Macaca mulatta: one gene and its partners. The protein of the gene in region 1 purifies or fractionates together with the protein of each later gene. This does not show direct contact. Links are inferred from orthologs where the notes say so. Each region holds a gene or a part of one and is shown in the gene's direction. Other genes may lie near its edges.

What was found.
Region 2: the proteins of ATP6AP2 (region 1) and CCDC115 purify together in Homo sapiens (affinity purification with mass spectrometry; 3 studies listed by BioGRID and IntAct, counting the BioPlex papers as one, with this or other methods). This does not show direct contact. The link is inferred for Macaca mulatta from reciprocal best matches to the Homo sapiens genes ATP6AP2 and VMA22.
Region 3: the proteins of ATP6AP2 (region 1) and ATP6AP1 purify together in Homo sapiens (affinity purification with mass spectrometry; 5 studies listed by BioGRID and IntAct, counting the BioPlex papers as one, with this or other methods). This does not show direct contact. The link is inferred for Macaca mulatta from reciprocal best matches to the Homo sapiens genes ATP6AP2 and ATP6AP1.
Region 4: the proteins of ATP6AP2 (region 1) and ATP6V1F purify together in Homo sapiens (affinity purification with mass spectrometry; 3 studies listed by BioGRID and IntAct, counting the BioPlex papers as one, with this or other methods). This does not show direct contact. The link is inferred for Macaca mulatta from reciprocal best matches to the Homo sapiens genes ATP6AP2 and ATP6V1F.
Region 5: the proteins of ATP6AP2 (region 1) and ATP6V1A purify together in Homo sapiens (co-immunoprecipitation; 3 studies listed by BioGRID and IntAct, with this or other methods). This does not show direct contact. The link is inferred for Macaca mulatta from reciprocal best matches to the Homo sapiens genes ATP6AP2 and ATP6V1A.

Annotation. Positions count from the first base shown.
Region 1 is NC_133426.1:40,468,395-40,472,611, forward strand, and holds part of ATP6AP2 (renin receptor precursor), read left to right. Parts: intron 1-591; coding exon 592-723; intron 724-4,217. UniProt on the Homo sapiens protein: Multifunctional protein which functions as a renin, prorenin cellular receptor and is involved in the assembly of the lysosomal proton-transporting V-type ATPase (V-ATPase) and the acidification of the endo-lysosomal system.
Region 2 is NC_133417.1:6,445,047-6,449,911, reverse strand, and holds the start of CCDC115 (vacuolar ATPase assembly protein VMA22), read left to right. Parts: upstream 1-1,730; 5' UTR 1,731-1,742; coding exon 1,743-1,853; intron 1,854-1,923; coding exon 1,924-2,027; intron 2,028-2,114; coding exon 2,115-2,197; intron 2,198-2,825; coding exon 2,826-2,957; intron 2,958-4,865. Other genes in the region: U3 small nucleolar ribonucleoprotein protein IMP4, read right to left, coding at 668-776, 919-921. UniProt on the Homo sapiens protein: Accessory component of the proton-transporting vacuolar (V)-ATPase protein pump involved in intracellular iron homeostasis.
Region 3 is NC_133426.1:160,610,662-160,615,555, forward strand, and holds the start of ATP6AP1 (V-type proton ATPase subunit S1), read left to right. Parts: upstream 1-1,501; 5' UTR 1,502-1,538; coding exon 1,539-1,702; intron 1,703-1,901; coding exon 1,902-2,025; intron 2,026-4,703; coding exon 4,704-4,778; intron 4,779-4,894. UniProt on the Homo sapiens protein: Accessory subunit of the proton-transporting vacuolar (V)-ATPase protein pump, which is required for luminal acidification of secretory vesicles.
Region 4 is NC_133408.1:168,496,563-168,501,335, forward strand, and holds ATP6V1F (V-type proton ATPase subunit F), read left to right. Parts: upstream 1-1,722; 5' UTR 1,723-1,755; coding exon 1,756-1,913; intron 1,914-3,943; coding exon 3,944-4,027; intron 4,028-4,188; coding exon 4,189-4,390; 3' UTR 4,391-4,670; downstream 4,671-4,773. UniProt on the Homo sapiens protein: Subunit of the V1 complex of vacuolar(H+)-ATPase (V-ATPase), a multisubunit enzyme composed of a peripheral complex (V1) that hydrolyzes ATP and a membrane integral complex (V0) that translocates protons.
Region 5 is NC_133407.1:169,945,591-169,949,807, reverse strand, and holds part of ATP6V1A (V-type proton ATPase catalytic subunit A), read left to right. Parts: intron 1-2,064; coding exon 2,065-2,193; intron 2,194-4,217. UniProt on the Homo sapiens protein: Catalytic subunit of the V1 complex of vacuolar(H+)-ATPase (V-ATPase), a multisubunit enzyme composed of a peripheral complex (V1) that hydrolyzes ATP and a membrane integral complex (V0) that translocates protons.

The DNA of each region.
Region 1 (4,217 bases):
CTGAGATTACAGGCGTGAAGACCATACCCGACCATCTAGTTCTTTACAACCTTAAACTTGATTACAGATGGCTGTTAAAATAACTTTGAGAAAGAATTATTAGTAAACTAATGATAGTTATTTTTAGTAGGAATTGTTTTATTTATAAAGAGCTTAGTCTAAAGAGGATGTTTTAATGACCATCTTGCTATGTTGCTGTGAAAGATAAAAGTGATGCTGTATATAAGGGCAAAAAATGATGTGGGGGAAGAAAATTTCCGTAGCTACATGAAGAAAAGAATTATTTTGTGATCTGTTATTTGAAAGGTACCTATGTTTTGTTTACTTGCTTTTTTCCACAAAAGGTGTGAGATAACTTACTATTAGACTTTGTTTCAAATCTGTAGAATTTTAAGAAAATGAAGAGGGTAGAAATCAGCATTCTTAATTAGGAGATTGCAGCGACTGCCACAAATAAAATGTTTACTTTCCCTGTGAATTTTCCTTGTCAGTGTCATCCCAGAACCCCTTAACTCTGCTTATTAGATGTTATTGGGGAGGTGGGTTCCTGAGTTGATAATTAAGCACCGTTTTGTGCTTTTCAATGTTTAGGACCTTTCTTGGCCAGGACTCGCAGTGGGTAACCTGTTTCATCGTCCTCGGGCTACTGTCATGGTGATGGTGAAGGGAGTGGACAAACTGGCTCTACCCCCAGGCAGTGTCATTTCATACCCTTTGGAGAATGTGAGTATTTATTATAAAAAATTAAAGGGATGTGTTTTACATTTTCCCTTGTCAGCTGCCATTATGAATTGCATTCTAAACATACTTATCTTATCTGTTTCTGATGCACGGTTTCTTTTGAAATTCTTTTACAAACACAATTTCTTTTTAAGAAAATTACATGATGATTGTAATTGATTGAGGCTTGGCTGTTCTCTGTGGATGAGAGTACTGTTTAAGATAAGAGATAGAGAAATTGCCCCACTCAGAATAGCCAGAGGCTCGAAAAAGAGAGCCACCAAAGGAGAAACCAGGTGGGGGTGTATCCTGCTGCCATTTTCTTGGCCATTGTCTTGTCATCTTCCCTGCAGGATTTTACCTCTTTTTGTGTGTAAGGACACTGGAGGCTGCTTGCTGGCTCACTTACTCCTTCACTGGCCATTCAGGCAATGTGGGTGACTGTGCTGATCTGAGAGGCCCTCCTTCCATTATAAGCATAGAGAAGTGCTTGAAAGAATGTCACAAAAACATTTTTACTAGCATAAGTAAATTTGAATGCAAGAGGGGGCGATATACACAGGTGTTACATATGGATGGAAAACTCAGAAGCCATAGTGGTGAGCAGGAGCTGATGCTGAAACTGTGTTTCCTGCAGAAATCCAGGGACTAGAAAATGCTGTCAACTTGTTCTTGAAAAGAGGACTGGTAAAACTAGTAAAGCTGGCTTGCTGCCCTTGGCTGTTGGACCCAAAGAGTCCCCTGAGAGAAATTAGAATTAGAATTATAGGCTTATGCTGTGTAGAGTGGTTCTTTCCAAATTCACATGACCTGCCCCATAGGGACACCTCCACAGCCAAGGGCTCCTTTGGTCAAATATGGAAGATGAGTGGAATTTACAAAGCACCTGAAGGAAAAAAAATGCCACGAGAAACTAGGTGCAACAAACAGAATTCATCTCCTTAGAACTACAGAGAATAGGCCAATTTCCAAGAGACCTAAAAATACATACGTTAAAATTGTGAAAAAAAAAAAAGGGCCAGACATGGTGGCTCACACCTGTAATCCCAGCACTTTGGGAGGCCAAGATGGGAGGATTGCTTGAGGCCAGGAGTTCGAGACCAGCTTGGTCAACATAGCAAGACCCTATCTCTGGGGAGGGGAGAAGAAGAAAGAAAGAGAAAAAATTTGTGAAAAAAAGGAAGGAACAGAAACTATGAGGGAGTTATAAGATATTTTTGATATATGGTGCTTTAGTTGATACTTCAAAATATTTCATAATTTGTATTGTGATTCTTTAACCCATGAGTTATGTAGAAGTATTTTTTCCAAATGCATGAGTTTTAAAAACATAATTTCTAATTTTTAAATTTCTAAGTTCACTGCATTGTAATACTGTGGTCTATGTGATGCTGAAGTTTTGGGAATTTTTTTTTTTTCAGACTTTCCTGTGGTCTAGTATAGATTATTTCCAAGCACACATGGCATACTTAGAAAAAATTACTATGCACTAATCCACAAGGCAAATCTCAACAAACAATAAAGAATCAGTATCATATAAACTACCTTCTCTGACCACAATGCAGTTAAATCTGAAAATAATAATAAAACAATATCTTAAAAGGGTATTTGGAGCCCGACACCATGCCTCATGCCTGTAATCCCAACACTTTGAGAGGCCGAGGCGGGTGAATCACTTGAGGCCAGGAATCCGAGACCAACCTGGCCAACATGGCTAAACCCTGTCTCTACTGAAAATACAAAAATTAGCCAGGCGTGGTGGCACACGTCTGTAGTCCCAGCTACTTGGTGGCTGAGGCACGAGAATTACTTGAACCCAGGAGGTGGAGGTTGCAGTGAGCTGGGATTGCGCCACTGCACTCCAGCCTGGGTGACAGAGCGAGACTCTACCTGAAAAAAAAAAAAAGAAAAAGCTATTTGGATCAACATTTCTCCTTTCCCCATCCACCTGTCTTCCCCAGCCTCTTCTAACCATCATTCTGCTCTCTACTTCTATGAGTTCAACTTACAAGTGAGGTCATGTAGTATTTGTCCTTCTATGCCTGGCTTATTTCACTTAACATAATGTCCTCCAGGTTTATCCATGTTGCAAATGACAGTTTACCCCACTTTAAAGGCTGTATAGTATTCCATTATGTTTATATACCACATTTTCTTCTGCCGAGACCAGCTGGGTTGGGGAGACCAGCGGTGCTAGAGGAATTAAAGACACACACACAGAAATATAGACGTGTGAAGTGGGTAATCAGGGGTCTCACAGCCTTCAGAGCTGAGAGCCCCGAACAGAGATTTACCCACATATTTATTAACAGCAAAGCAGTCATTAGTGTTGTTTCTATAGATATTAAATTAACTAAAAGTGTCCCTTATGGAAAATGAAGGATGGTCCGAATTAAAGGAATAGGTTGGGCTAGTTAACTGCAGCAGGAACATGCCTTTAAGACACAGATCGCTCATGCTATTGTTTGTGGTTTAAGAATGGCTTTAAGCGGTTTTCCGCCCTGGGCGGGCCAGGTGTTCCTTGCCCTCATTCCTGTAAACCGACAACCTTCCAGCTTGGGCGTTAGGGCCATTATGAACATGTCACAGTACTGCAGAGATTTTGTTTATAGCCAGTTTTGGGGCCAGTTTATGGCCAGATTTTGGGGGGCTTGTTCCCAACACACATTTTCTTCTTTCTGCTTTTTTCTTTTTTTTGAGACAGAATCTTGCTCTGTCACTCAGGCTGGAGTGCAGTGGTGCGATATCATCTCACTGCAACTTCTGCCTCCTGAGTTCAAGGGATTCTGGTGCCTCAGCCTCCTGAGTAGCTGGGATTACAGGTGCACGCCACCACGTCCGGCTAATTTTTTGTATTTTTAGTAGAGATGAAGTTTCATCATGTTGGCCAGGCTGGTCTCAAACTCCTGAGTTCAGGTGATCCACCCACCTCAGCCTCCCAAAGTGCTGGAATTACAGGCATGAGCCACTGCATCCAGTTGCACATTTTCTTTTATCCATTCGTTTGATTATGGACACCGACGTTGCTTCCATCCATATCTTAGAAATTGTAAATAGTGCTGCAGTGAACATGGGAGTGCAGTTACCTCTTCAGCATACTGACTTCAATTGCTTTGGATATATATACCCAGAAGTGGGCTTGCTGGATCATGCTTTAGTGATCTGTTGCACAGAATGGTGACTATATTAAATAATAATGCGGTGTATATTTCAAAACTGCTAAAGGAGTAGATTTTAGATACTTTTACCACAAAAAAAGATAAGTATGTGAGGTGATGGATTTGTTCATTAGCCTGATTTAATCAGTCCACTTTGTAAACTTATGACAAAACATGACGTTGTACCCCATAAATATATACAGTTACTGTTTGTCAGTTAAAAATAAAATGAAAAGTATTTGGAAATAGTAACAAACAAAAGATACGACTCCTCAGATTTAAAGCATATGGAACATCCAGTAGGCAAAAGCCAGATCCACACCTGGATACAGTGAAATT
Region 2 (4,865 bases), on another chromosome or scaffold:
GTTCTCCACGGGGCTCAGAGGAACTCTGGCAGGGAGGATGGGCAGTGCAGTCTGCAGCACCCGCGCTATCCAGATAGTCTTTGGAGAAACTTTCTTTTTTTTTTTTTTTTTTTTTTTGAGACGGAGTCTTGCTCTTTTCCCCAGGCTGTAGTGCAGTGGCACGCTCTTGCCTCACTGCAACCTCTGCCTCCCAGGTTCAAGCAATTCCTGCCTCTGCCTCTGTCTCCTGAGTAGCTGGGATTACAGGCGCGTGCCACCACGGCCAGCTACTTTTTGTATTTTTAGTACAGACGGGGTTTCACCATGTTGGTCAGGCTGGTCTCGAACTCCTGACCTCATGATCCGCCCGCCTCGTCCTCCCAAAGTGCTGGGATTACAGGCATGAGCCACCGCTCTAGAGAGAATTTCTATAGGACAAGGTAAAGCCTTTAAAACTGGGGACGAACTTGACACACCGTACACAGCGGGCAAGCTGCAAAACCCGGGTGCTGCAACGTCAACGACAAGTAAGTACCACTGTCACACGGAAGGAACTCTCAAAACCAACAGGAGAATCCAATGGGCAAGGAAAACGGCCTGCAAGCATTTGGAAAGACGCTTGGATATCCGAACACAAGTAAGTGCGGGGGGTTTACCGCGCAGACGCCCGCGGGACCGACCACCGTACCTTCGAGCGCGTGCCTCAGCCGCTCCTTCCTCTCCTGCGCCGAGCGCTGCGCCTCCTCCCGGGCCTTGCGGTACAGGTACTCGCGGCGCAGGCGGGCCTCGCGGCGCAGCTGCGGGAACAGCGGGCCCAGTCACTACTGGCTCCCGAGCCCCGGAGCCCCGGAGCCCCCGAGGCTCCAACGCCCCAGGGCCACATCCCCAGCACTTCACGCGTCCCGCAGCTCCGAAACAGGAGCTCAAACATCCTCCTACCATCTTGAGCGCCGCTTCCACGTGGGTCCGGGAGACTCTGTGGGTTCCTCTGGCGCCTCGCAGTCCTCACTTCCGCCCTCAACCAAGATGGTCCCTTAGACGCTTCACCGGTGCCTGCAGCCGTCGGGCATGCCCTGTGTTAAGATGGCGAATAGGGCTGGGCGGGGGAGGGGGCATGGCAAGGCGATTGGCCGTTCCAGGGGGCGTTCTCCTTGGGACAACCAATAGACTGGATACAGAATGTCGCACGCGGCCTCCGACTGCAGCTAATAAAGATGTCCGCCAGCGGCTTCCCCATCCCCGCCCTTCCCCCGCCACCGCCGTGCAGAATGCACGGTTTCAAGATGATGAACCGCTAAAACAATCATAATTAGCGGCTCGAACCAGTTCATCAGCTGTAAAAATGGCACACCGACTGATCTGGAGGTTGCCTGCCGGCTCCTTTCCAAATTAAAACCACTCTTCCCTCAACCAAAATGGTTTCTGCACAGCTTCGCTTTCTTCCATCGCCACAGCAGGGGCCCGAGTTCTAAGACTGGGCAGCTTCCGGAAGGACTCAGAACCACCTTCGGCCCCGGCCGACAGTCCGGCTGGCTGATCCACGTGGGGGCTAACTGGGGAAACCAGTCGATCGGTTGCTTCTGTGCTGCTTCTCTAAGTGCGCTTGCCCTTAAAGGAGCTGACCCGGAGGCCTAGGTGCTGCCGGCGTGGGGATCCCCAGCTGGGAACGCCCCTCCATGGAAGATCTCGTGTGCCCATTGGCTGTCCTGCCAACCGCGGGCGGTGACGGGGAAGGTGGCGGGTCCGGATCTGAATGCGTGTCCATGGCGGCGCTTGACCTGCGAGCGGAGCTGGACTCGCTGCTCCTGCAGCTGCTGGGGGACCTGGAGGAACTGGAGGGGAAGCGAGCGGTGTTGAACGCCCGGGTGGAGGAGGTAGGCGCCTGGGGCGGGCAGGAGGGCACACGGGCGTAAACTGAGGCTCACCGCTGTCCTCTCCTTGCAGGGCTGGCTGTCGCTCGCCAAGGCTCGCTACGCGATGGGCACCAAGTCGGTGGGGCCCCTGCAGTATGCTTCCCACATGGAGCCCCAGGTCTGCCTCCAGGCCAGGTGAGGAAGCGTCCATGCTGGGCTGGGTGGGCGGGCGCGCTCCAGGCCCGGGGTGCCAAAGCTCCATCCTCCCTTCTTGTCCTTCAGCGAGGCCCAGGAGGGACTCCAGAAGTTCAAGGTGGTGAGATCTGGTGTCCACGCCCCAGAGGAGGTGGGGCCTCGCGAAGCAGGTGAGCCCCCTCTTCCTTCTGCAGAACCCCTTCCCAATGTCAAAGACAAAATGCAAATGATGGAGATGGTTTTAATTAGGTTTTTGCGATAAGAGAGAGCATCCCAGAGCTGAAGAACAGAATGTTTTTGTAGGGTGGTTTTGCCTTAGACTTTTATAGGGAGGAGTAGAGAAGTTGGGGAGTTGCTTTACACTGGGAATAGTTTTACAATCACTTAAGTTTCAGTCAGCTGAACAGAAAATATTCATCTGTGTGTCTAGCTAGTTTCAGAGGGACAAACTTCTAATCCCAGTTAATCATTCCTGAGACAAAGAATGGGGAGTTGGAACGTCTGTGTCTGGTCTGTCAGCATGTTCAGGTCCAATGGGTAAGGTCAGTGTCACAGGCAAACAGGGTCATCGGCAGGTCCTACAGGAGTCATGGGAAAGAGTGGACAAACAGTCTCATCTGAATCACAAGGGGAAAGGCTGTGTTTTGTGGTAAGCTGTTTCCTGGAACCCCAAAGTTGGAATTTTCCAACCAACAGTGTTTTCTAGAATCATGAGCTCAGATCAAGCTCAACATTGTCACCAAGACGATACAGGCCAGGGAGTAGGATCCCAGCCTACTCCAACCTTTCTTTCCTCAGCTCTGCGGAGGCGCAAGGGCCCCACTAAGACCCCAGAACCGCAGTCCTCTGAGGCCCCTCGGGACCCCCTGAACTGGTTTGGAATCCTGGTTCCTCACAGTCTACGTCAGGCTCAAGCCAGCTTCCGGGATGGTGAGTGGACCCTGTTGTTTGGCTGTGTGGCCCTCAGACCCTCTATCCACAGGGAACACTGGAGCACTGCTGCCATGGCTGGGGTTAGTCTGTGAAAGACTTTGCAGGTTTCTCTTCATCCAAACTTCTGTTGTTACCCACTGTGTTTTCCAAAAGCATTTACTGATAGTTGGCAGCATTCGGGTTCATGCTAGCTGCTGGGGATACAGCAGAGAACAAAAGAGAAAAACACCTTTTCATGTAATGTTTAGGAGCAGAGAAAGGCAATGTGCAGATAAGTAATAAGTCAGGATGTGAAAATTGTTACGAAAAACACATAATGGAGTGGGACAGGAGTGGGCCAAGGTAGCTATTTTACGAAGGGTGGCCAGGGGAAGTCTCTCTGAGGAGGTGAAGGAAAAGCTTTGTGGGTGATTTTGGGGAATGGTGCTCTAGATGGAGGAACCAGCCAGGACAAAAGCCCTGAAGCCATATATATCAGGTATGTGCAGAGGCTGATGGCCTGAAGTGGAGTCAGATGAAGACTGTGGGACGCACAGAGAGGCTCTGAGCAGAGGATGGTTCGACTGGCTGCACAGGGTCACAGGAATCCTTGGGTGCTGGTTGGGGACACAGAGCAGAGGGAGGAAGCGGGCGTCAGGGAGCGGCCAGTGCGAGAAGCAGATGGCGTCACTGGAGGAGGAGGTAAGTGGTGGGAACCTGCACAGGTTTTAAGAGTAGAAGCCGGCTGGGCGCGATGGCTCAAGCCTGTAATCCCAGCACTTTGGGAGGCTGAGACGGGCGGATCACGAGGTCAGGAGATCAAGACCATCCTGGCTAACATGGTGAAACCCCGTCTCTACTAAAAAAAATACAAAAAAACTAGCCAGGCGTGGTGGTGGGCGCCTGTAGTCCCAGCTACTGGGGAGGCTGAGGCAGGAGAATGGCGTAAACCCGGGAGGCGGAGCTTGCAGTGAGCTGAGATCTGGCCACTGCACTCCAGCCTGGGCGACAGAGCAAGACTCCGTCTCAAAAAAAAAAAAAAAAGAGTAGAAGCCTCAGAATTTGCTGACAGATAAGATATGGGAGTAAGGGAAGGAAAGGAGTCCAGGAAAGCCCCCGGTCTCCACTCAGAACCCCTGGAGGATGGAGTGACCCTCACCCACTGTGGGCAGCTGAGGGGATGCCGGAAGGCAGGAGTTGGTGTGGTCTGTGTGGTGTCTACTGATGTCCTGCTGGACAGTCTGAGTGGGCACTTGGGCACATACCTCTGGAGTTTGGGAAAGGCCTGGGCTGGAGAGAGATTTGGGAGTCACTGCATAGCACTGTTTAAATTCCAAAGTTTTTGACACAAACACTGGTTTCAAGCTGAAACAGGACGAGATCAGCAGAGGGCCTGGGGGGTATGGACAGGAGGTGAGGGAGAGGAGGGGAGAAGCCAGTCAAGGAAACTTAGGAGCAACACCTGGGAGCAGGTGTCCTGGAGGCCAAGAAGAGAAAGTGTTTCCTGGAGCAAGCGATCCAGTGTGTGGTCAGCCCTGCTGCTGAACAGGAGGCTGAAGACTGAGAGCTGCCCGGAGGACTGGGCAGCAGCTGTTCCAGCAGAGACATCGGCACAAGCCACCTAGAGGTGGATCCAGAGTGTGGACTACTGTTGGGGCAGAGAAAAGAAGTGGAGGTGAGGGGAGCGAGAGGCTGTAGTCATGGGGGAAGGAAGGAAATGAGAGCATGAGATGGTATTACTAGCTGTGAATTTTTACTTCCTGGTGGGTGATATAATGGGTCCGGGAAGTCTGAGGAGGTAACGTTTTAGCAAAGACCTGAAGGAGGTGTAAGACTGCAGAGGTTCTGGAGCAGCCAATGCAGGGCCATACCTGGAATGTTTTGGGACAAGTGTTGGGGGCAGAGAGGCCTGGAGCCTCTCCAATT
Region 3 (4,894 bases), about 120 Mb from region 1:
TCCAGGGACCCCTGGCAACGGAGGGAAGAATAAAAGCAGTCACAGGTGGGTTTCTCCCCTAAGGATGGAAGCAGCTCAGCAACAGAGTCCTGGTAGAGGCAAGATTGCATTCCACATTCCAGAGGAAGTCTTTGCCTTGAAACTATGTACCAAAAGTAACAGAAACATAATAGACATGCTTTCCTTTTTAAGTTTGCTGGATTCTCCTGGGATACAGTGAAGCTCCAGCAAAAACCTCTCTCCTCAGCTAGTTCAGGCCTGGAAATGGCCACTTGAGGGTTTCCCTAAGCACCCGAAACTCAGTGAGCCCCCAAGTGACCTCATCTCCCAGTCCCCAACTCAGAGAGACCCAAAAGCTACAATTTTCTTTGACTGTATCGTCAGACCCACTTCCTCTATCCAGCTCAACTGCCACTATTCTCGTCCTAGTCTGAATCACATGTGACAATCATGACTACAATTTTTTTTTTTTTTTTTTTTTTTGAGATGGACTCTTGCCAGGCTAGAGTGCAGTGGTGTGATCTTGGCTCACTGCAACCTCCGCCTCCCGGGTTCAAGTGATTCTCCTGCCTCAGCCTCCCGTGTAGCTGGGACTACAGGAGTGCGCCAGCATGCCCAGCTAATTTTTGTATTTTTAGTATTGACGGAGTTTCAACATGTTGGCCAGGATGATCTTGATCTCTTGATCAAGATTCGCCCGCCTCCGGCTTCCAAAGTGCTGGGATTTCAGGTGTGAGCCACCGCGCCCGGCCCGTTAGGGTGTCTTTGAAGCCACGCTTCGCTCTGGGTTTCCCCCTTTCCTCTTCGGTTGCTCCTTGTCCGATCTCTTTTCTGGACCCTTCTCCCACCCAAAGTAAGTGCTGGGTGTTCCCGCAGATGCTATCCTGGGCTCGCTTCTGTCCTCATTCTAAGGGATTACAGTCTCCTGTCACCTGTATCAGGGAGGGTCCATCTACAGGAAAAAGACACCACTTTTGCAATTTTAAGGAAAAGGATTAAAACAAGGATTGGCCGGGTGCGGCGATGCGCGCCTGTAGTTCCACTTTTCCGGAGGCTGAGGTGCGAGGATCGCTTGAGCTGGGGGGTGGGGGTAGGCGAGACCAGCCTGGGCAATATAGGGAGACTCTGTCTCTTAAAAAAAAAAAAAAAAGGAAAGAAAAAAGAAAAAAAGAAAGAAAGAAAAGAAGAGAGCAACAACAACAATAAATAAATAAATAAATAAATAAATAAAAACGGACGGGCGAACGCGTAGGGTGCGCGCAGGGTTTCGCGGAGCCTCCCTGTCCCTCTTGTCTCGTCCTAGTAGGTCTAGGTGGGCCCCATCCCCTTTCCCACTCGGAGTGTGAGTGCCTGGAGACACGTACAGCCAATCAGTGAGAAGGAGTGGCCGCGAGTGGCATGCACTTGGTCCAATTACCTGCGGCCCTGCCAGCCGGCCCGCGCTTGGGCCAATGGAGGTGCGAGGCGGGGCTCAGGCGGGGGCAACGGTCACCTGATCCGCGGCTGTCGAGGCCGCTGAAGCAGTGGAGGCTGAGGCTATGATGGCGGCCACGGCGACGGCTCGAGTGCGGATGAGGCCGCGGTGCGCCCAGGCGCTCTGGCGGATGCCGTGGCTGCCGGTGTTTTTGTCGTTGGCGGCGGCGGCGGCGGCGGCGGCAGCGGCGGAGCAGCAGGTCCCGCTGGTGCTGTGGTCCAGTGACCGGTGAGCGGGCCGGGGTGGGATGCGTTGTGGCGGCTGAGGCGCCCTCGCCCGACTCCGACTCCCGCGCTGTCCTACGCGAGGGGTGGTGAGGCCCAGAGGTGGACTATTCTTTGCTCGGGGGTCGCAGCGAATCTGCCGGCAACAGAGCTCCAGTCCACATGCGCCCCCGTCTGACAGCACCTCTTCTGTCCCCTGCCAGGGACTTGTGGGCTCCTGCCGACACTCATGAAGGCCACATCACCAGCGACTTGCAACTCTCTGCCTACTTAGATCCCGCCCTGGAGCTGGGTCCCCGGAATGTGCTGCTGTTCCTGCAGGACAAGGTGCGCCTGCCCCAGCCCACTCTCCCCCGGTCATCGGGAGGCAGCCAGGAACCCCTCCCCCCATGACACTGACGCCCATTCCCCAAGGGAAGCTTCAGTGACCTTGTCCCAACCGTAGGGAGGTGTGGGTCGTCTCATGGGAAGGCCTGTAGTAAACGCTTCAGTGGGCATGGCGACAGCCTCGGAAATGGCACCAACTTGATTGGAGGAAGCGACGGGTCAGAGGCCAGGTACCTACTGATTACCAAGCACTTTGGATATCTGACTTACTCCAATATGGTGGGTGGGGATTATTGTCCCTGTTCGTTTATAAATGAGAAGACTGAGGCTGGAGGTTAAGTGACTTGCCCAAGCTCATACAGCTAATGGGTGGCACAGTTGTAATTCTAGCTGTGATGATCATAATAATGATAATTGGAAAATGATCACCTGTTTAGTGCTTTGTAGGCACTTGCTATACTGATGTCATTATCTCGGTTTTACTGCCAAGGAAAGTAAGGTTTGTCGAGATACAATGTTTCACTACAGTTGATAGACACCACTTTGGTTCCAGCCTGAGTCTGTCAATCCTCCCTCCCAATTGGAGCTCATAACCTGCATGCTGTTTTCCCTCCCATCCAGGATCTTTGCCCCCAAGCAGGCGTGCAGACCATGAGATGATTCTAAGATAGCAAGCGTCTGCTAGGCCCTCCCTTGTTGGTGGCCTGTATGGCTCATTGCCCTTGTAGTCTCCCTTGGTTGCTGTGTGGGCAGATGGTGACCTGAAGTCTTTTCAGGAGGTGGTAAATAATATAGTCAGATAGGAACTGAGTCCTAGTTCCACCATGTAACCAGCCATTGGAGGCATGAAATAATCTTTGTCAATGACAGTTTCTACATCTGTAAAATGAAGACACCACCTACATCAGAGGGCTGTGAGGGGGAATTCTTTTTTTTTGTTTTTTTTGTTTTTTTTGTTTTTTTTGAGGCAGAGTCTCGCTCTGTTGCCCAGGCTGGAATGCAGTGGTGCAATGTAAGCTCAATGCAACCTCCACCTCCTGGGTTCAAGCAATTCTCTGCCTCAGCCTCCTGAGTAACTAGGATTACAGGGCACCTGCCACTGCGCCCAGCTAATTTTTGTATTTTTTTTTTGTATTTTGAGTAGAGACAGGGTTTCACCATGTTGGCCAGGCTGGTCTTGAACTCCTGACCTCGTGATCAACCCACCTCGGCCTCCCAAACTGCTGGGATTACAGGCATGAGCCACCGCGCCCGGCCTGTGAGGGGGAATTCTTATAATCCACATAAAACATCTAGCCAGGATCCCCCAGTCTTTCGGCATTCACCCATTCATTCATTTGTCCAATATGGAAAGCCTACTATGTGCCAGGTATTATGAAGTGTTGGGGATACGGCAGTGAGCAGAAGAACCCAATCCCCCACCATCAGGAAGCTGACATTCTCATGAGGGTGACCAGTAAATACTAAGTTGGTATATTATATGATGTCAGTGTTATAGTCTTTAGGGAAGGAAACAGGCTAAGGGGACAGAGTGACTGGGATGCTGTTTTAGATAAGGGTGGTCAGACCGGGCCTCACTGAGGAGGTGAGGAGGTGAGGAGGTGATATCTGAGCAGAGATCTTAATGGAGGGAGGGAGCCGTTGGGGGAAGGACATTCCTGGAACAGCAAATGCAAGGGCCCTGGGCGAGGTGTGCTCTTGGCAAGCTCAAGGAAGACCTGGTGTGACTGGAGCACAGTGAGTGAGAGAAAGGGGTAGGAGATGTAGGAGATGGTTCTCAGGTGGCCAGGCAATGAAGTAGGACCTTGTAGGCCATGAGGGGGAAGGTCAGGTGCAGTTCTAAATGTGTAAGAAAGCCTTGGGTAATGTGGAGCAGGGAGTGGTGTGATTTCTCAATTAAAGAAAGCCCACAGGAACCACCAGCAACTCCTGGGCTTTCCGACTGGGAGCCTGGGCGGCCAAACAGCAGCAAGGTCCTGCCCACAAGGGAGGGGAGACTGGGCGAGTGTATATACCAAACAGGTTAGGGAAGCTGATTAAAATCTCCTCAGGGCCTAACTGGGAAAGGCCAGAGGAAGCTGGAGATTGGAGTAGGGGGTAGGAGCGAAAGGACAAAGGACATCTGTAAGTTGTATAGAAAAAGGGATGGGGTCAGGGCCACTGTGGTCCTAAGAGCTCAAAAGACTTCAGTGCTTCCTCCGCATGTTCTGAGATCTCACCTCTCTCCCCTTCCACCAAAAGCAAGTGGGGTGACGGTCCTGTCCAGACTGGACATAGCCAACTCCCATTTTCTCTGGCTGGGAGGCCTGCTGCAAATGCTCTTGGCTGCCCCACCCCCTCCCCACAGCTTCCCTGTTCCCTCCCCAGTTCCTCTTGTCTGTAGGGCGGGTAAGGCAGCTGACTCCTACTCCTGAGGTTACCACAAATCAGCTGCCTACAGATCTCCCCACCCCCATGACTGCCTTCTATGTCTTCTCACCCTGCCTTGACAGTGCTGGAGGGAAGAGACGAGTCTCCCACCCACCACCACCAACACACAGTCGCGCTCCACTATACCGAACCTGACTCTCAGTGAGACTTTGCTGGCCCTGAGAATGCACGGGGAAGGTGGCTGTCCCCTGCCTTGGCCCCCATTCCTTGTCAAACCTCCTCAGATGTCTCCCCTGTTTCCCTATTAGCTGAGCATTGAGGATTTCACAGCATATGGTGGTGTGTTTGGAAACAAGCAGGACAGCGCCTTTTCTAATCTAGAGGTAAGAGTCCTCTCCCAGCCAGGGGCCATGGGGGACATTCTGTGCTTCTCCCAGCATAAGAACTGTACTCTTACCTCATATCAGGGTTACTTGGGTCTGAGTCTCCTCTGGGCTGC
Region 4 (4,773 bases), on another chromosome or scaffold:
AGCACTCTCTTACTTGAAAACCCTCAGCGGCTTCAGGATAACTCTGTCCTCAGGATAACTTCCAGATCCTTTTTTTTTTTTTTAAACAGAGTCTCGCTCTGTCACCCAGGCTGGAGTGCAGTGGCGCCATCTCAGCTCACCACAACCTCCCTTGCCCGGGTTCAAGCAATTGTCCTGCCTCAGCCTCCCAAGTACCTGGGACTGTAGGCACACACCACCTCATTGGGCTAATGTTTTTTGTACTTTTAGTGGAGACAGGATTTCACCATGTTGGCCAGACTGGTCTCAAACTCCTGACCTCAGGTGATCCATCTGCCTCGGCCTCCCAAAGTGCTGGGATTACAGGCGTGAGTCACCGTACCTGGCCTGCAGATCCCTTTTTTTTTTTTTTTTTTTTCAGACAGGGTCTCGTTCTGCTGCTCAGGCTCAAGTGCAGTGCCCTGATCATAGCTCACTGTAACCTTGAACTCCTGAGCAAGCCCTGCTGCCTCAGCCTCTCGAGTACCTGGAACTATAAGTGTGCGCCACCACACCTGGCTAATTTTTTTTTTTTTTTTTTTGAGACAGAGTCTCGCTCTGTCGCCCAGGTTGGAGTGCAATGGCACAATCTCGGCTCACTGCAGTCTCCACTTCCCAGGTTCAAGCAATTCTCCTGCCTCAGCCTCTCGAGTAGCTGGGACTACAGGTGCCCACAACCATGCCCAACTAATTTTTTGTATTTTTAATAGAGACAGGTTTTTGCCATGTTGGCCAGGCTGGTCTCAAACTCCTGACCTCAGGTGATCCACCTGCCTTGGCCTCCCAAAGTGCTGGGATTACAGGAGTGAGCCACCGCACCTGGCCTACCTGGCTAATTTTTAAAATTTTTTGCAGAGACAGGGTCTCACTGTGTTGCCCAGGCTGGTCTCCAACTCCTGAGCTCAAGCAATCCTCCTCCATCAGGGAAGCACTCCCAAAGTGCTGGGATTATAGGCGTGGCATGAGCCACCATGCCTGGCCTTACCAATTCTTTAACTTTCCTTGAAGGCCCTACGCTCTCTAGTCAGTACGCCTTTGCATATGCTCTTCCTCTGCCTAGAACACCGTCTTGTCCTCACTTCTATCCCCTTCATCCTGCAGGTCCTTCAGGTCTCAGCTTAGATCTGAAGCAAGTTTCTTGGGGAAGGGTTCTTTGGATGCCCCCTCTCTCCATGGGTTAGTTACCATGGATGTGTGCTTCCATATACTTTTCACATTCTAACCATTAACACACAGCTCTGTAGTCGCCTATTCCCTTGACTTTCCATCTCACTAGACAGTATCATCACTAACTTCTGCATTCCTTTAATTGAACAAATGCGTATTACTTGTTAAATATGTGTCATAGGTACACACATACACGATAAAGACCCAGACCCTGCCGATGAGATCAGTAACTGCGTCTCTTCTCTGGGATCTCGGCGTTTAAACAGCGCCAGGTTCAAATCGCTTGTTGAACGAATGAACCAAGGAAAGAGTCAATGAACGAATGAATGCCCGCGAAGGAGGTGGTGCCGCGCAGCCTTCTGGGAATCGTAGTCCCCTGCTTCGGGCCTGTCTTTATGGCGCAGGCGTATTCACATGGAGGCCGTGTTGCTGTTCATGCGCATGTCCCGGAATGCGGCTCGGAGAACTGCGCATGCCCGAAGGGGGGTGGGGCCGACGGGGAGCCGTACGGCGGAGGCGGGGCTTCGGCGGCTTTTGGTGCTCTCGGGTGAGCTCTGCCCGGCAGCGGGGATGGCGGGGAGGGGGAAGCTCATCGCAGTCATCGGAGACGAGGACACGGTGACTGGTTTCCTGCTGGGCGGCATAGGGGAGCTTAACAAGAACCGCCACCCCAATTTCCTGGTGGTGGAGAAGGATACAACAATCAATGAAATCGAAGACACTTTCCGGTACGGTAGCGCGCGAGGCCTGAACGGGCCCTTCTGCTGCCTGGTGGAGTGCGGGGCGAGGGTGGAGGCGGCCCGGGGACCGAGGCGTGAGGCCCGGACGGGGGTTAGGGGATGGTCGTGAAAGTCCGCCCGCCCGCCGCTGCGCCCCAAGTTCCCGTTTGGGGCTGGGTGGCACCGACGCTGTATCAGGTCCACGAGCTCCCCACCTCACATGATCGTGTGTCAGGAAAGAAGGGGAACAGAGCTCGTGACGGGCTAGGCAGTGGGCTCGGACTTTGTTCTGCTTTCCCCTCCTTTACAGGCTCACCGTCGTCCGGTAAGGCAGGGGTGATTTTGTCCTACTTACAGGTGAGAAAACTAAAGCTTGGAGAGGTTAAGGCACACACTAAAGTTACAAGTGGGCAGAGGCAGACCTGGAATTTGAACCTAATCCTAACCCTTTCTGCCTTTGGTAAGCCAGGTACACACTCTGTACAGCTCTCCTCAGTCGGCCTCGGAATTTCCCTTTGCTCTTGAGCACAGTAGGCAGAAAATGTCAGGACTGTGAGAGCCTTCTGCTAAGACCTTGCACTCAAGCCCTCACTCCCTGCCTTAGGTCAGAGTGTGGGCGCAGACATGCCTTTAATCCACCAGGGGTCCTGGTGACCTGAATTGAGGATAACAGCCTCCTATTCTATCCCTCACCCCTTCTTCAGGTTCGCTGTACTAAGTCTCAGGAATAAACCACTCACCTGTTTCCCCCCAAACAGTCCAGCCCAGGGCTGCCGGCTGAGACTGGTTCCTGCTGCCTGGTGTATTAGGTAGTTCCTGACCTGGTAGGCTGTTACCTGCCGATCTCTAAGCTGTCTGGTAAAGTGACCCAAGTTACCATGGGAGAAGGACAAATTTTACTTCAAGAATTTTTTATGTTTCCAATCAAAAGGGACCTCAGAGATCAAATCTAACCCAGTGACTGGTGGGGGGTGGGTGCTCAGTAAATAATTTTTAACCAGTAAATAAATGAATGAGTCTGGGCGCGGTGGCTCACGCCTGTGATCCCAACACTTCTGGAGGCCGAGGCGGGTGGATCACCTGAGTTCCACCCGCCAGGCTGGTTGGAGTTCGAAACCAGCCTGACCAATATGGTGAAACCCCATTTCTACTAAAAATACAAAAATTAGCCAGGCGTCGTGGAGGGTGCCTGTAATCCCAGCAAATCAGGAGGCTGAAGAAGGAGAACTGCTTGAACCTGGGAGGCGGAAGTTGCAGTGAGCCGAGATCCGCCGCTGCACTCCAGCCTGGGTGACAGAGGGAGACCCTGTCTCAAAAAAATAAAATAAACGAATGAATGGGTGGGTGATCATAGGAGAGGAGGATCACGAGGCCAGGTTCTTTTTGGGCAGAAAGTATGATTCCTTCATCAGAGTGTCCTCTTCCTAGCTTGTGATCTTGGTTCATGCCAGACTTTCCCTCTGACCCCTCCACCACCCTCATCAGCATAGACCTTGAGGCCTTCAGTGGTCTCATCAGCCCTATTTTTAAATTAATTTGTTTTCTTTCTAAAAGTTAATGTGTCCTTTTTTTTTTTTTTTTTCTGAGACAGGGTCTCACTCCTGTCACCCAGGCTGGAGTGCAGTGGCGTGATCACAGCTCACTGTGGCCTCGACTTCCCAGGCTCAAGTGATTCTCCCACCTCAGCCTCCCAAGTAGCTGGGACTACAGTTTCCCAAGCAGCTGGTACATGCTGCCACATCGAGCCAATTTTTTGTATATATGTACACATTTTTTTTTCTTTTTTTTTGTAGAGATGGGAGTCTCACTATGTGGCCCATTCTGGTCTCAAACTGCAGGGTTCAAGCGATCCACCCGCCTCGGCTTCCCAAAGTGCTGGGATTACAGGCATGAGCCATTGCACCCGGCCTTCAGTATCTGCACATAAAAAAGGATCTGTATACATATAATCTTATCCTTCCCCTTTCTGACACCATCACTGCATATTGACATAGGGTTGACACCATCACTGCAGTGTGCACCCTAATTTTCATTACCAGTTCACTTGGAAGCGTTTCAGGCAGCGTTGCAGAAGCCAACCCTAGTCAGCATGACCCTCCGCTTTGGGATGAAATTGATTCTTGGTAGAGTTGACATAGGGTTGAGCGTGGCCGCCTTTCTCCTTGTCCTCTGTGCCCTCTGGGTCACACTCATTCTCCTCCACTGCCCAGCCCAACAACTTGGAGGCAGGAGAGAAGGCAGCCCCCAGAGCTGCCCTAGACTCCCGTCTCATCTCTCCCCACAGGCAGTTTCTAAACCGGGATGACATTGGCATCATCCTCATCAACCAGTACATCGCAGAGATGGTGCGGCATGCCCTGGACGCCCACCAGCACTCCATCCCCGCTGTCCTGGAGATCCCCTCCAAGGAGCACCCATATGACGCCGCCAAGGACTCCATTCTGCGCAGGGCCAGGGGCATGTTCACTGCTGAAGACCTGCGCTAGGGGACTCCTCACAGCCCTCAGCCCTTCCCTCGTTTCCAGGCCTCTCCCCAGGCTTGCCATCAGCCTTCTTTACTTTTTGAGCCTCTGATTTCCAATTCCCTGCCCATTCCCACTCCATTAAGAGGCTAGGTGAGGCACTTCTAGGTTGCTGGGGCTCTGCTGTTAAAGCTGGTTAAGGAACAGGAAGCCTGACCATCTCCCTCCACTACCTGTTCCCTGTGCTGTTACACAGTGTCATTGTTGATGTTAAATTAAAGTCATATTCTTGCTTCTCTCCAAACGGGCTGGGTGCTGGAAAGTACATGTGTGGGGTGAGGCCATGGGGCAGATTCAATTGGCAAGGATGGAAAAAGGTGCTGCCAAAGACAGGCATAGAAGAGCTG
Region 5 (4,217 bases), on another chromosome or scaffold:
AAGACTTAAGTAGAATCTGTATCATAAGGGCTCATCTAGCATTGATTATCTAAATTTGATAATTATTGAGGTGCTGCTTTGTGATATCCTGTTTATAATTATGTAAATGTTCAACCAGTGTTCAGTTTTATGTGTCTTAATTTTTTGTTAAATTTGAGGTAAAAAAAACTATGAAGTATATTGCTTTTAATATGTAATATCTTGCATATAGCAGGCATTCAGTAAATGTTAATTTGCTTTGAACTTTAATAATTCAAATGCTCAGAGCATTTCTCAGTAATATTAGCTTTTGCCTTTTGCATTTATGAAACTTTTTGAATGGTTAAGTGTCTTATTAACTACCTGTGGGAAAGAAGTTTTAGTACCCAAACTTTGTGTCCATTCTGCCAAAACGTGGAGTGCTGCTTTTTAAATAATAAATCTTGCGCCAGTATTTGTTTTGTTATTGAATACTCCCTCTACAAAATGTGATTCACAGTCACAGTTTCTCTAAGTAAAGCCTGCTTAGTGATGTATTATCCTTCAAACCTCATGCTATATAGTCTTTTTCTTGTTCCAGTTACAGTAGTGGTGATGACAGTTTTTTGATGTTTATGCAAATGAAAACTGTCAGTCACTGTCCCCTTTTTTCTCCCCCAAGAACTTGGTGTTTGAGCTTGATTTCATTGGCAAGTCATTAAAAGGTTATCAGTATCTTTTGCCATGCAGAGAAATAATTGTCCTCTCAATGATCATAAGGGTCTTTAGGAAGGACAGGCTAAACCCAAGAACTTTTAGAGAAAAAGCAAAAGAACATCAAAGAGTTCAGGAAAAAATACTCTGTGAAACTGTGTAGTAAACTGCTCCTGGAAACAATTTTTAAAAAAAAATTTTTTTAGATTTTACTTTTAAGTTCTGGGATACATGTGCAGAAAGTGTAGGTTTGTTACATAGGTATACATGTGCCATGGTGGCTTGCTGCACCTATCAATCTGTTATATAGGTTTTAAGCCCCACATGCATTAGGTATTTGTCCTAATGCTCTCCCTCCCCTTGCCTCCTGCAATTTTTAATTCTTAAGTACTTAATAAGGCAATGGAACAATGGCATCCTTTTTTGGCTTATGAAATATGATTTTTAAATTTCACTATCTCTGGTATTTCAGTGCATCTTAATTCTTAAGTAATCAGTATAGAGGGAAATATTTACAGAATGAATAAGTCTTCATTGTTTTAACACAGGTTAATTAACTCATAAAACTTTAATAGTTTCCACTGAAGTATTACCTGTTATATAGTTCTAATCAGTTGTATCACAAGGCTAAATATTAAAAATTGGTTTATTCTTACACGTGTCTAAAAATATGGCAACCTTTCCTTTCCTCCCTGCTAGAAAAGTAAGTTTTGCTTACTAGACAACATGGTCCAAAATAGTAAGTTCAGTAAATGGAATTCCATTGATAATTTCTTACCCAGTGGTGGTGACTGATTGTAAATATCCTTATGGCCTATGAAAAAAATTTTGTAGATGTGCGTGTGAGTTTTTCTAGTAGAGCTATTATTAGTTTTTCAAAAGGGTCCATGTCCCAGAATAGTTTTAAGAACCACTGCTGTAAGTTGTTAGAAAGTAAAGATGTTCCTTTAGGTCTGTCTCTCAAAGGAAATGGTAACAGCATAGCAAAGTGATAATTGTGTGGCATTCCACCATACTACTAGCCAAACCATTTATTCCAATTTCTACTTTTAAAAGTTTTTTTATTGTTCCAAAGCCTTCACTCCATATATCATAGCAACTCTCAGAACATACTTGAATCCTACCAGGTAAGTTTGCCGTGCAGAACTTGAAATGTTTGAAAAGTTTTCATGTATATTATGTAAATAAATAATCTTTGGCTTATCTGTTTATATTATACACTAAAAATGTATCTATGTGAAACTACCAGTATGTTCAATAGTAGGTTTTTATTCTTCTTATGAATATATGAGAGAGGCACGATACTGGGTTTATTGGGTGTTTTAATAATTTGTGACTATTCACAGAACACTAGAGTTTTAAGTCATCAAAATAGTCTTTTGTTCTCTTCAGTGGTTACAGCCTGTGACATGGCGGGTGCAGCCATGTATGAGCTGGTGAGAGTGGGCCACAGCGAGTTGGTTGGAGAGATTATTCGATTGGAGGGTGACATGGCTACTATTCAGGTGTATGAAGAAACTTGTATCCTTTTTGGCTCAATTTCCTGCCACTTTCTATATTTCAAAATTTAAGGATTTAGGCCAGGCACAGTGCCTCACACCTGTAATCCCAGCACTTTGGGAGGCCGAGGCAGACAGATCACCTGAGGTCAGGAATTTGAGACCAGCTTGGCCATCATGGTAAAACTCCATCTCTAATAAAAATAAGAAAATTAGCTGGGCGTAGTGGCAGGCGCCTGTAATTCCAGCCACTCGGGAGACTGAGGCAGGGGAATCGCTTGAACCCCGGAGGAGGGAGGTTGCAGTGAGCCAAGATTGCACCGCTGCACTCCAGCCTGGGTGACAGAGTGAGACTCTGTCTCAGAAAAGAAAAAAAAAAGTAAGGATTTAAGCCAAAGGTAGAAGCAGCAAAGCAGCAACAACTAATGTTATTAGAAGCATGAAATGCTGGTGTTGTGAAGAGACCTAAATTATACCGGAGTACGTTAAAGAAAGAGAGAAAGGTACTATGAATTAATATTCTTATTTTAAGAAATTAGTATCTTCTGAACTTTCATTGCTCTTACTGCTTCAGTAATTCATGAACTTCAGGGGGATCAACTGAACTTTTTCTTCAGTGGGACACATACTGTGGAAGAAAGCGTAAACAGAATAACAATATTGATTTGTGAAGTTAAAATTCTCCAATTATGATTTCGGTTTAAAATAGTAAGTCCACAAATAAATTGGTCACCATAATAGCACCGAGTGACGTATTACATTTCAGTTTTATTACTAGGAAAGCTTTACTATTTGGTTATCATAATTTTGGCTTTTAAACATAGTATTTATTTTCAATTTTCTATGAAAAATAAGCATAAAGGGTTAAGCCTAGTGAAGAAGAATCACTTTTTTAGTGCTTCTATATGTGTTTTACTTTGATTCTCAAAATCCCCATTAATTATTTGAGTATTTAATCAAGATTTATTTGGTATGATGTTTTTGGCCATTCTAAAACACATGCATGCAGTTAACTAGTCTCTCTATAGTACTAGGTGCCAATTTAAAACAAAATCATCTAAAAATTTTAAATAAAAACAGAAGTTTTTGTAGCTATGAAATTGTAACTAATCAGAAATATTTTTTCTATTGTTACTTTTATCTTTTGTTTAATCTTTTACATGGCTTGAAGATTAAAATAAATGAAAATGTAAACAGTGACAACCCTCCTTGCCTTTGTTGTCTTGTATCTAGCCATTTATCAAAACACATACACACTTCCATGCACACATGCAACCACATTTATAGCTCCCTTTATTGTATATCCTTCTAGTTTAGTAATTACAGACATGAGCAAATACAAATATTTGTATTTTTCTTTCCTTTTTCTCTCTCTATATGTGTTTGTTTTTTGTTTGTTTGTTTTTTTTGAGATGGAGTCTTGCTCTGTCGCCCAGGCTGGAGTGCAGTGGCACGATCTCAGCTTACTGCAACCTCTGCCTCCCAGGTTTAACCTATTCTCTGCCTCAGCCTCCCGAGTAGCTGGGATTACAGGCGTGTGCCACCACACCCAGCTAATTTTTTGTATTTTTAGTAGAGACGGGGTTTCACCATCTTGGCCAGGCTGGTCTTGAACTCCTGACCTCGTGATCCACCCGCCTCGGCCTCCCAAGATAGCATATTATATGTACTGTTATACACCTTGCTTTTTTTCACTTAAAAGTATATGTATTCTAGAAGATAAATAGATATGTGATAAATATAGTAAAATGCTAAAGGTAGACTCTAACTGGTAGAGATTGGAAGTCCACTGTAAAATTCTTTCAACTTTGTTGTTGTTCAGAAGATTTTCATAATCAAAATTGGAAATGAAAATACATAGTTTAGAGATATTTCTAGAGGAATTCATGATAACTCTGGTTCTTTTTTTTACAGCCATATAATAATTCCATCATATAAATGTACGATTATTTACTTAATATCTTAATGATAGAAGTTTTGGTTTCTAGTCTTTGGTTGTTATAAACAGTGCTACAGTGTAAGTATAGTAAGAATTCACAGAAGTTG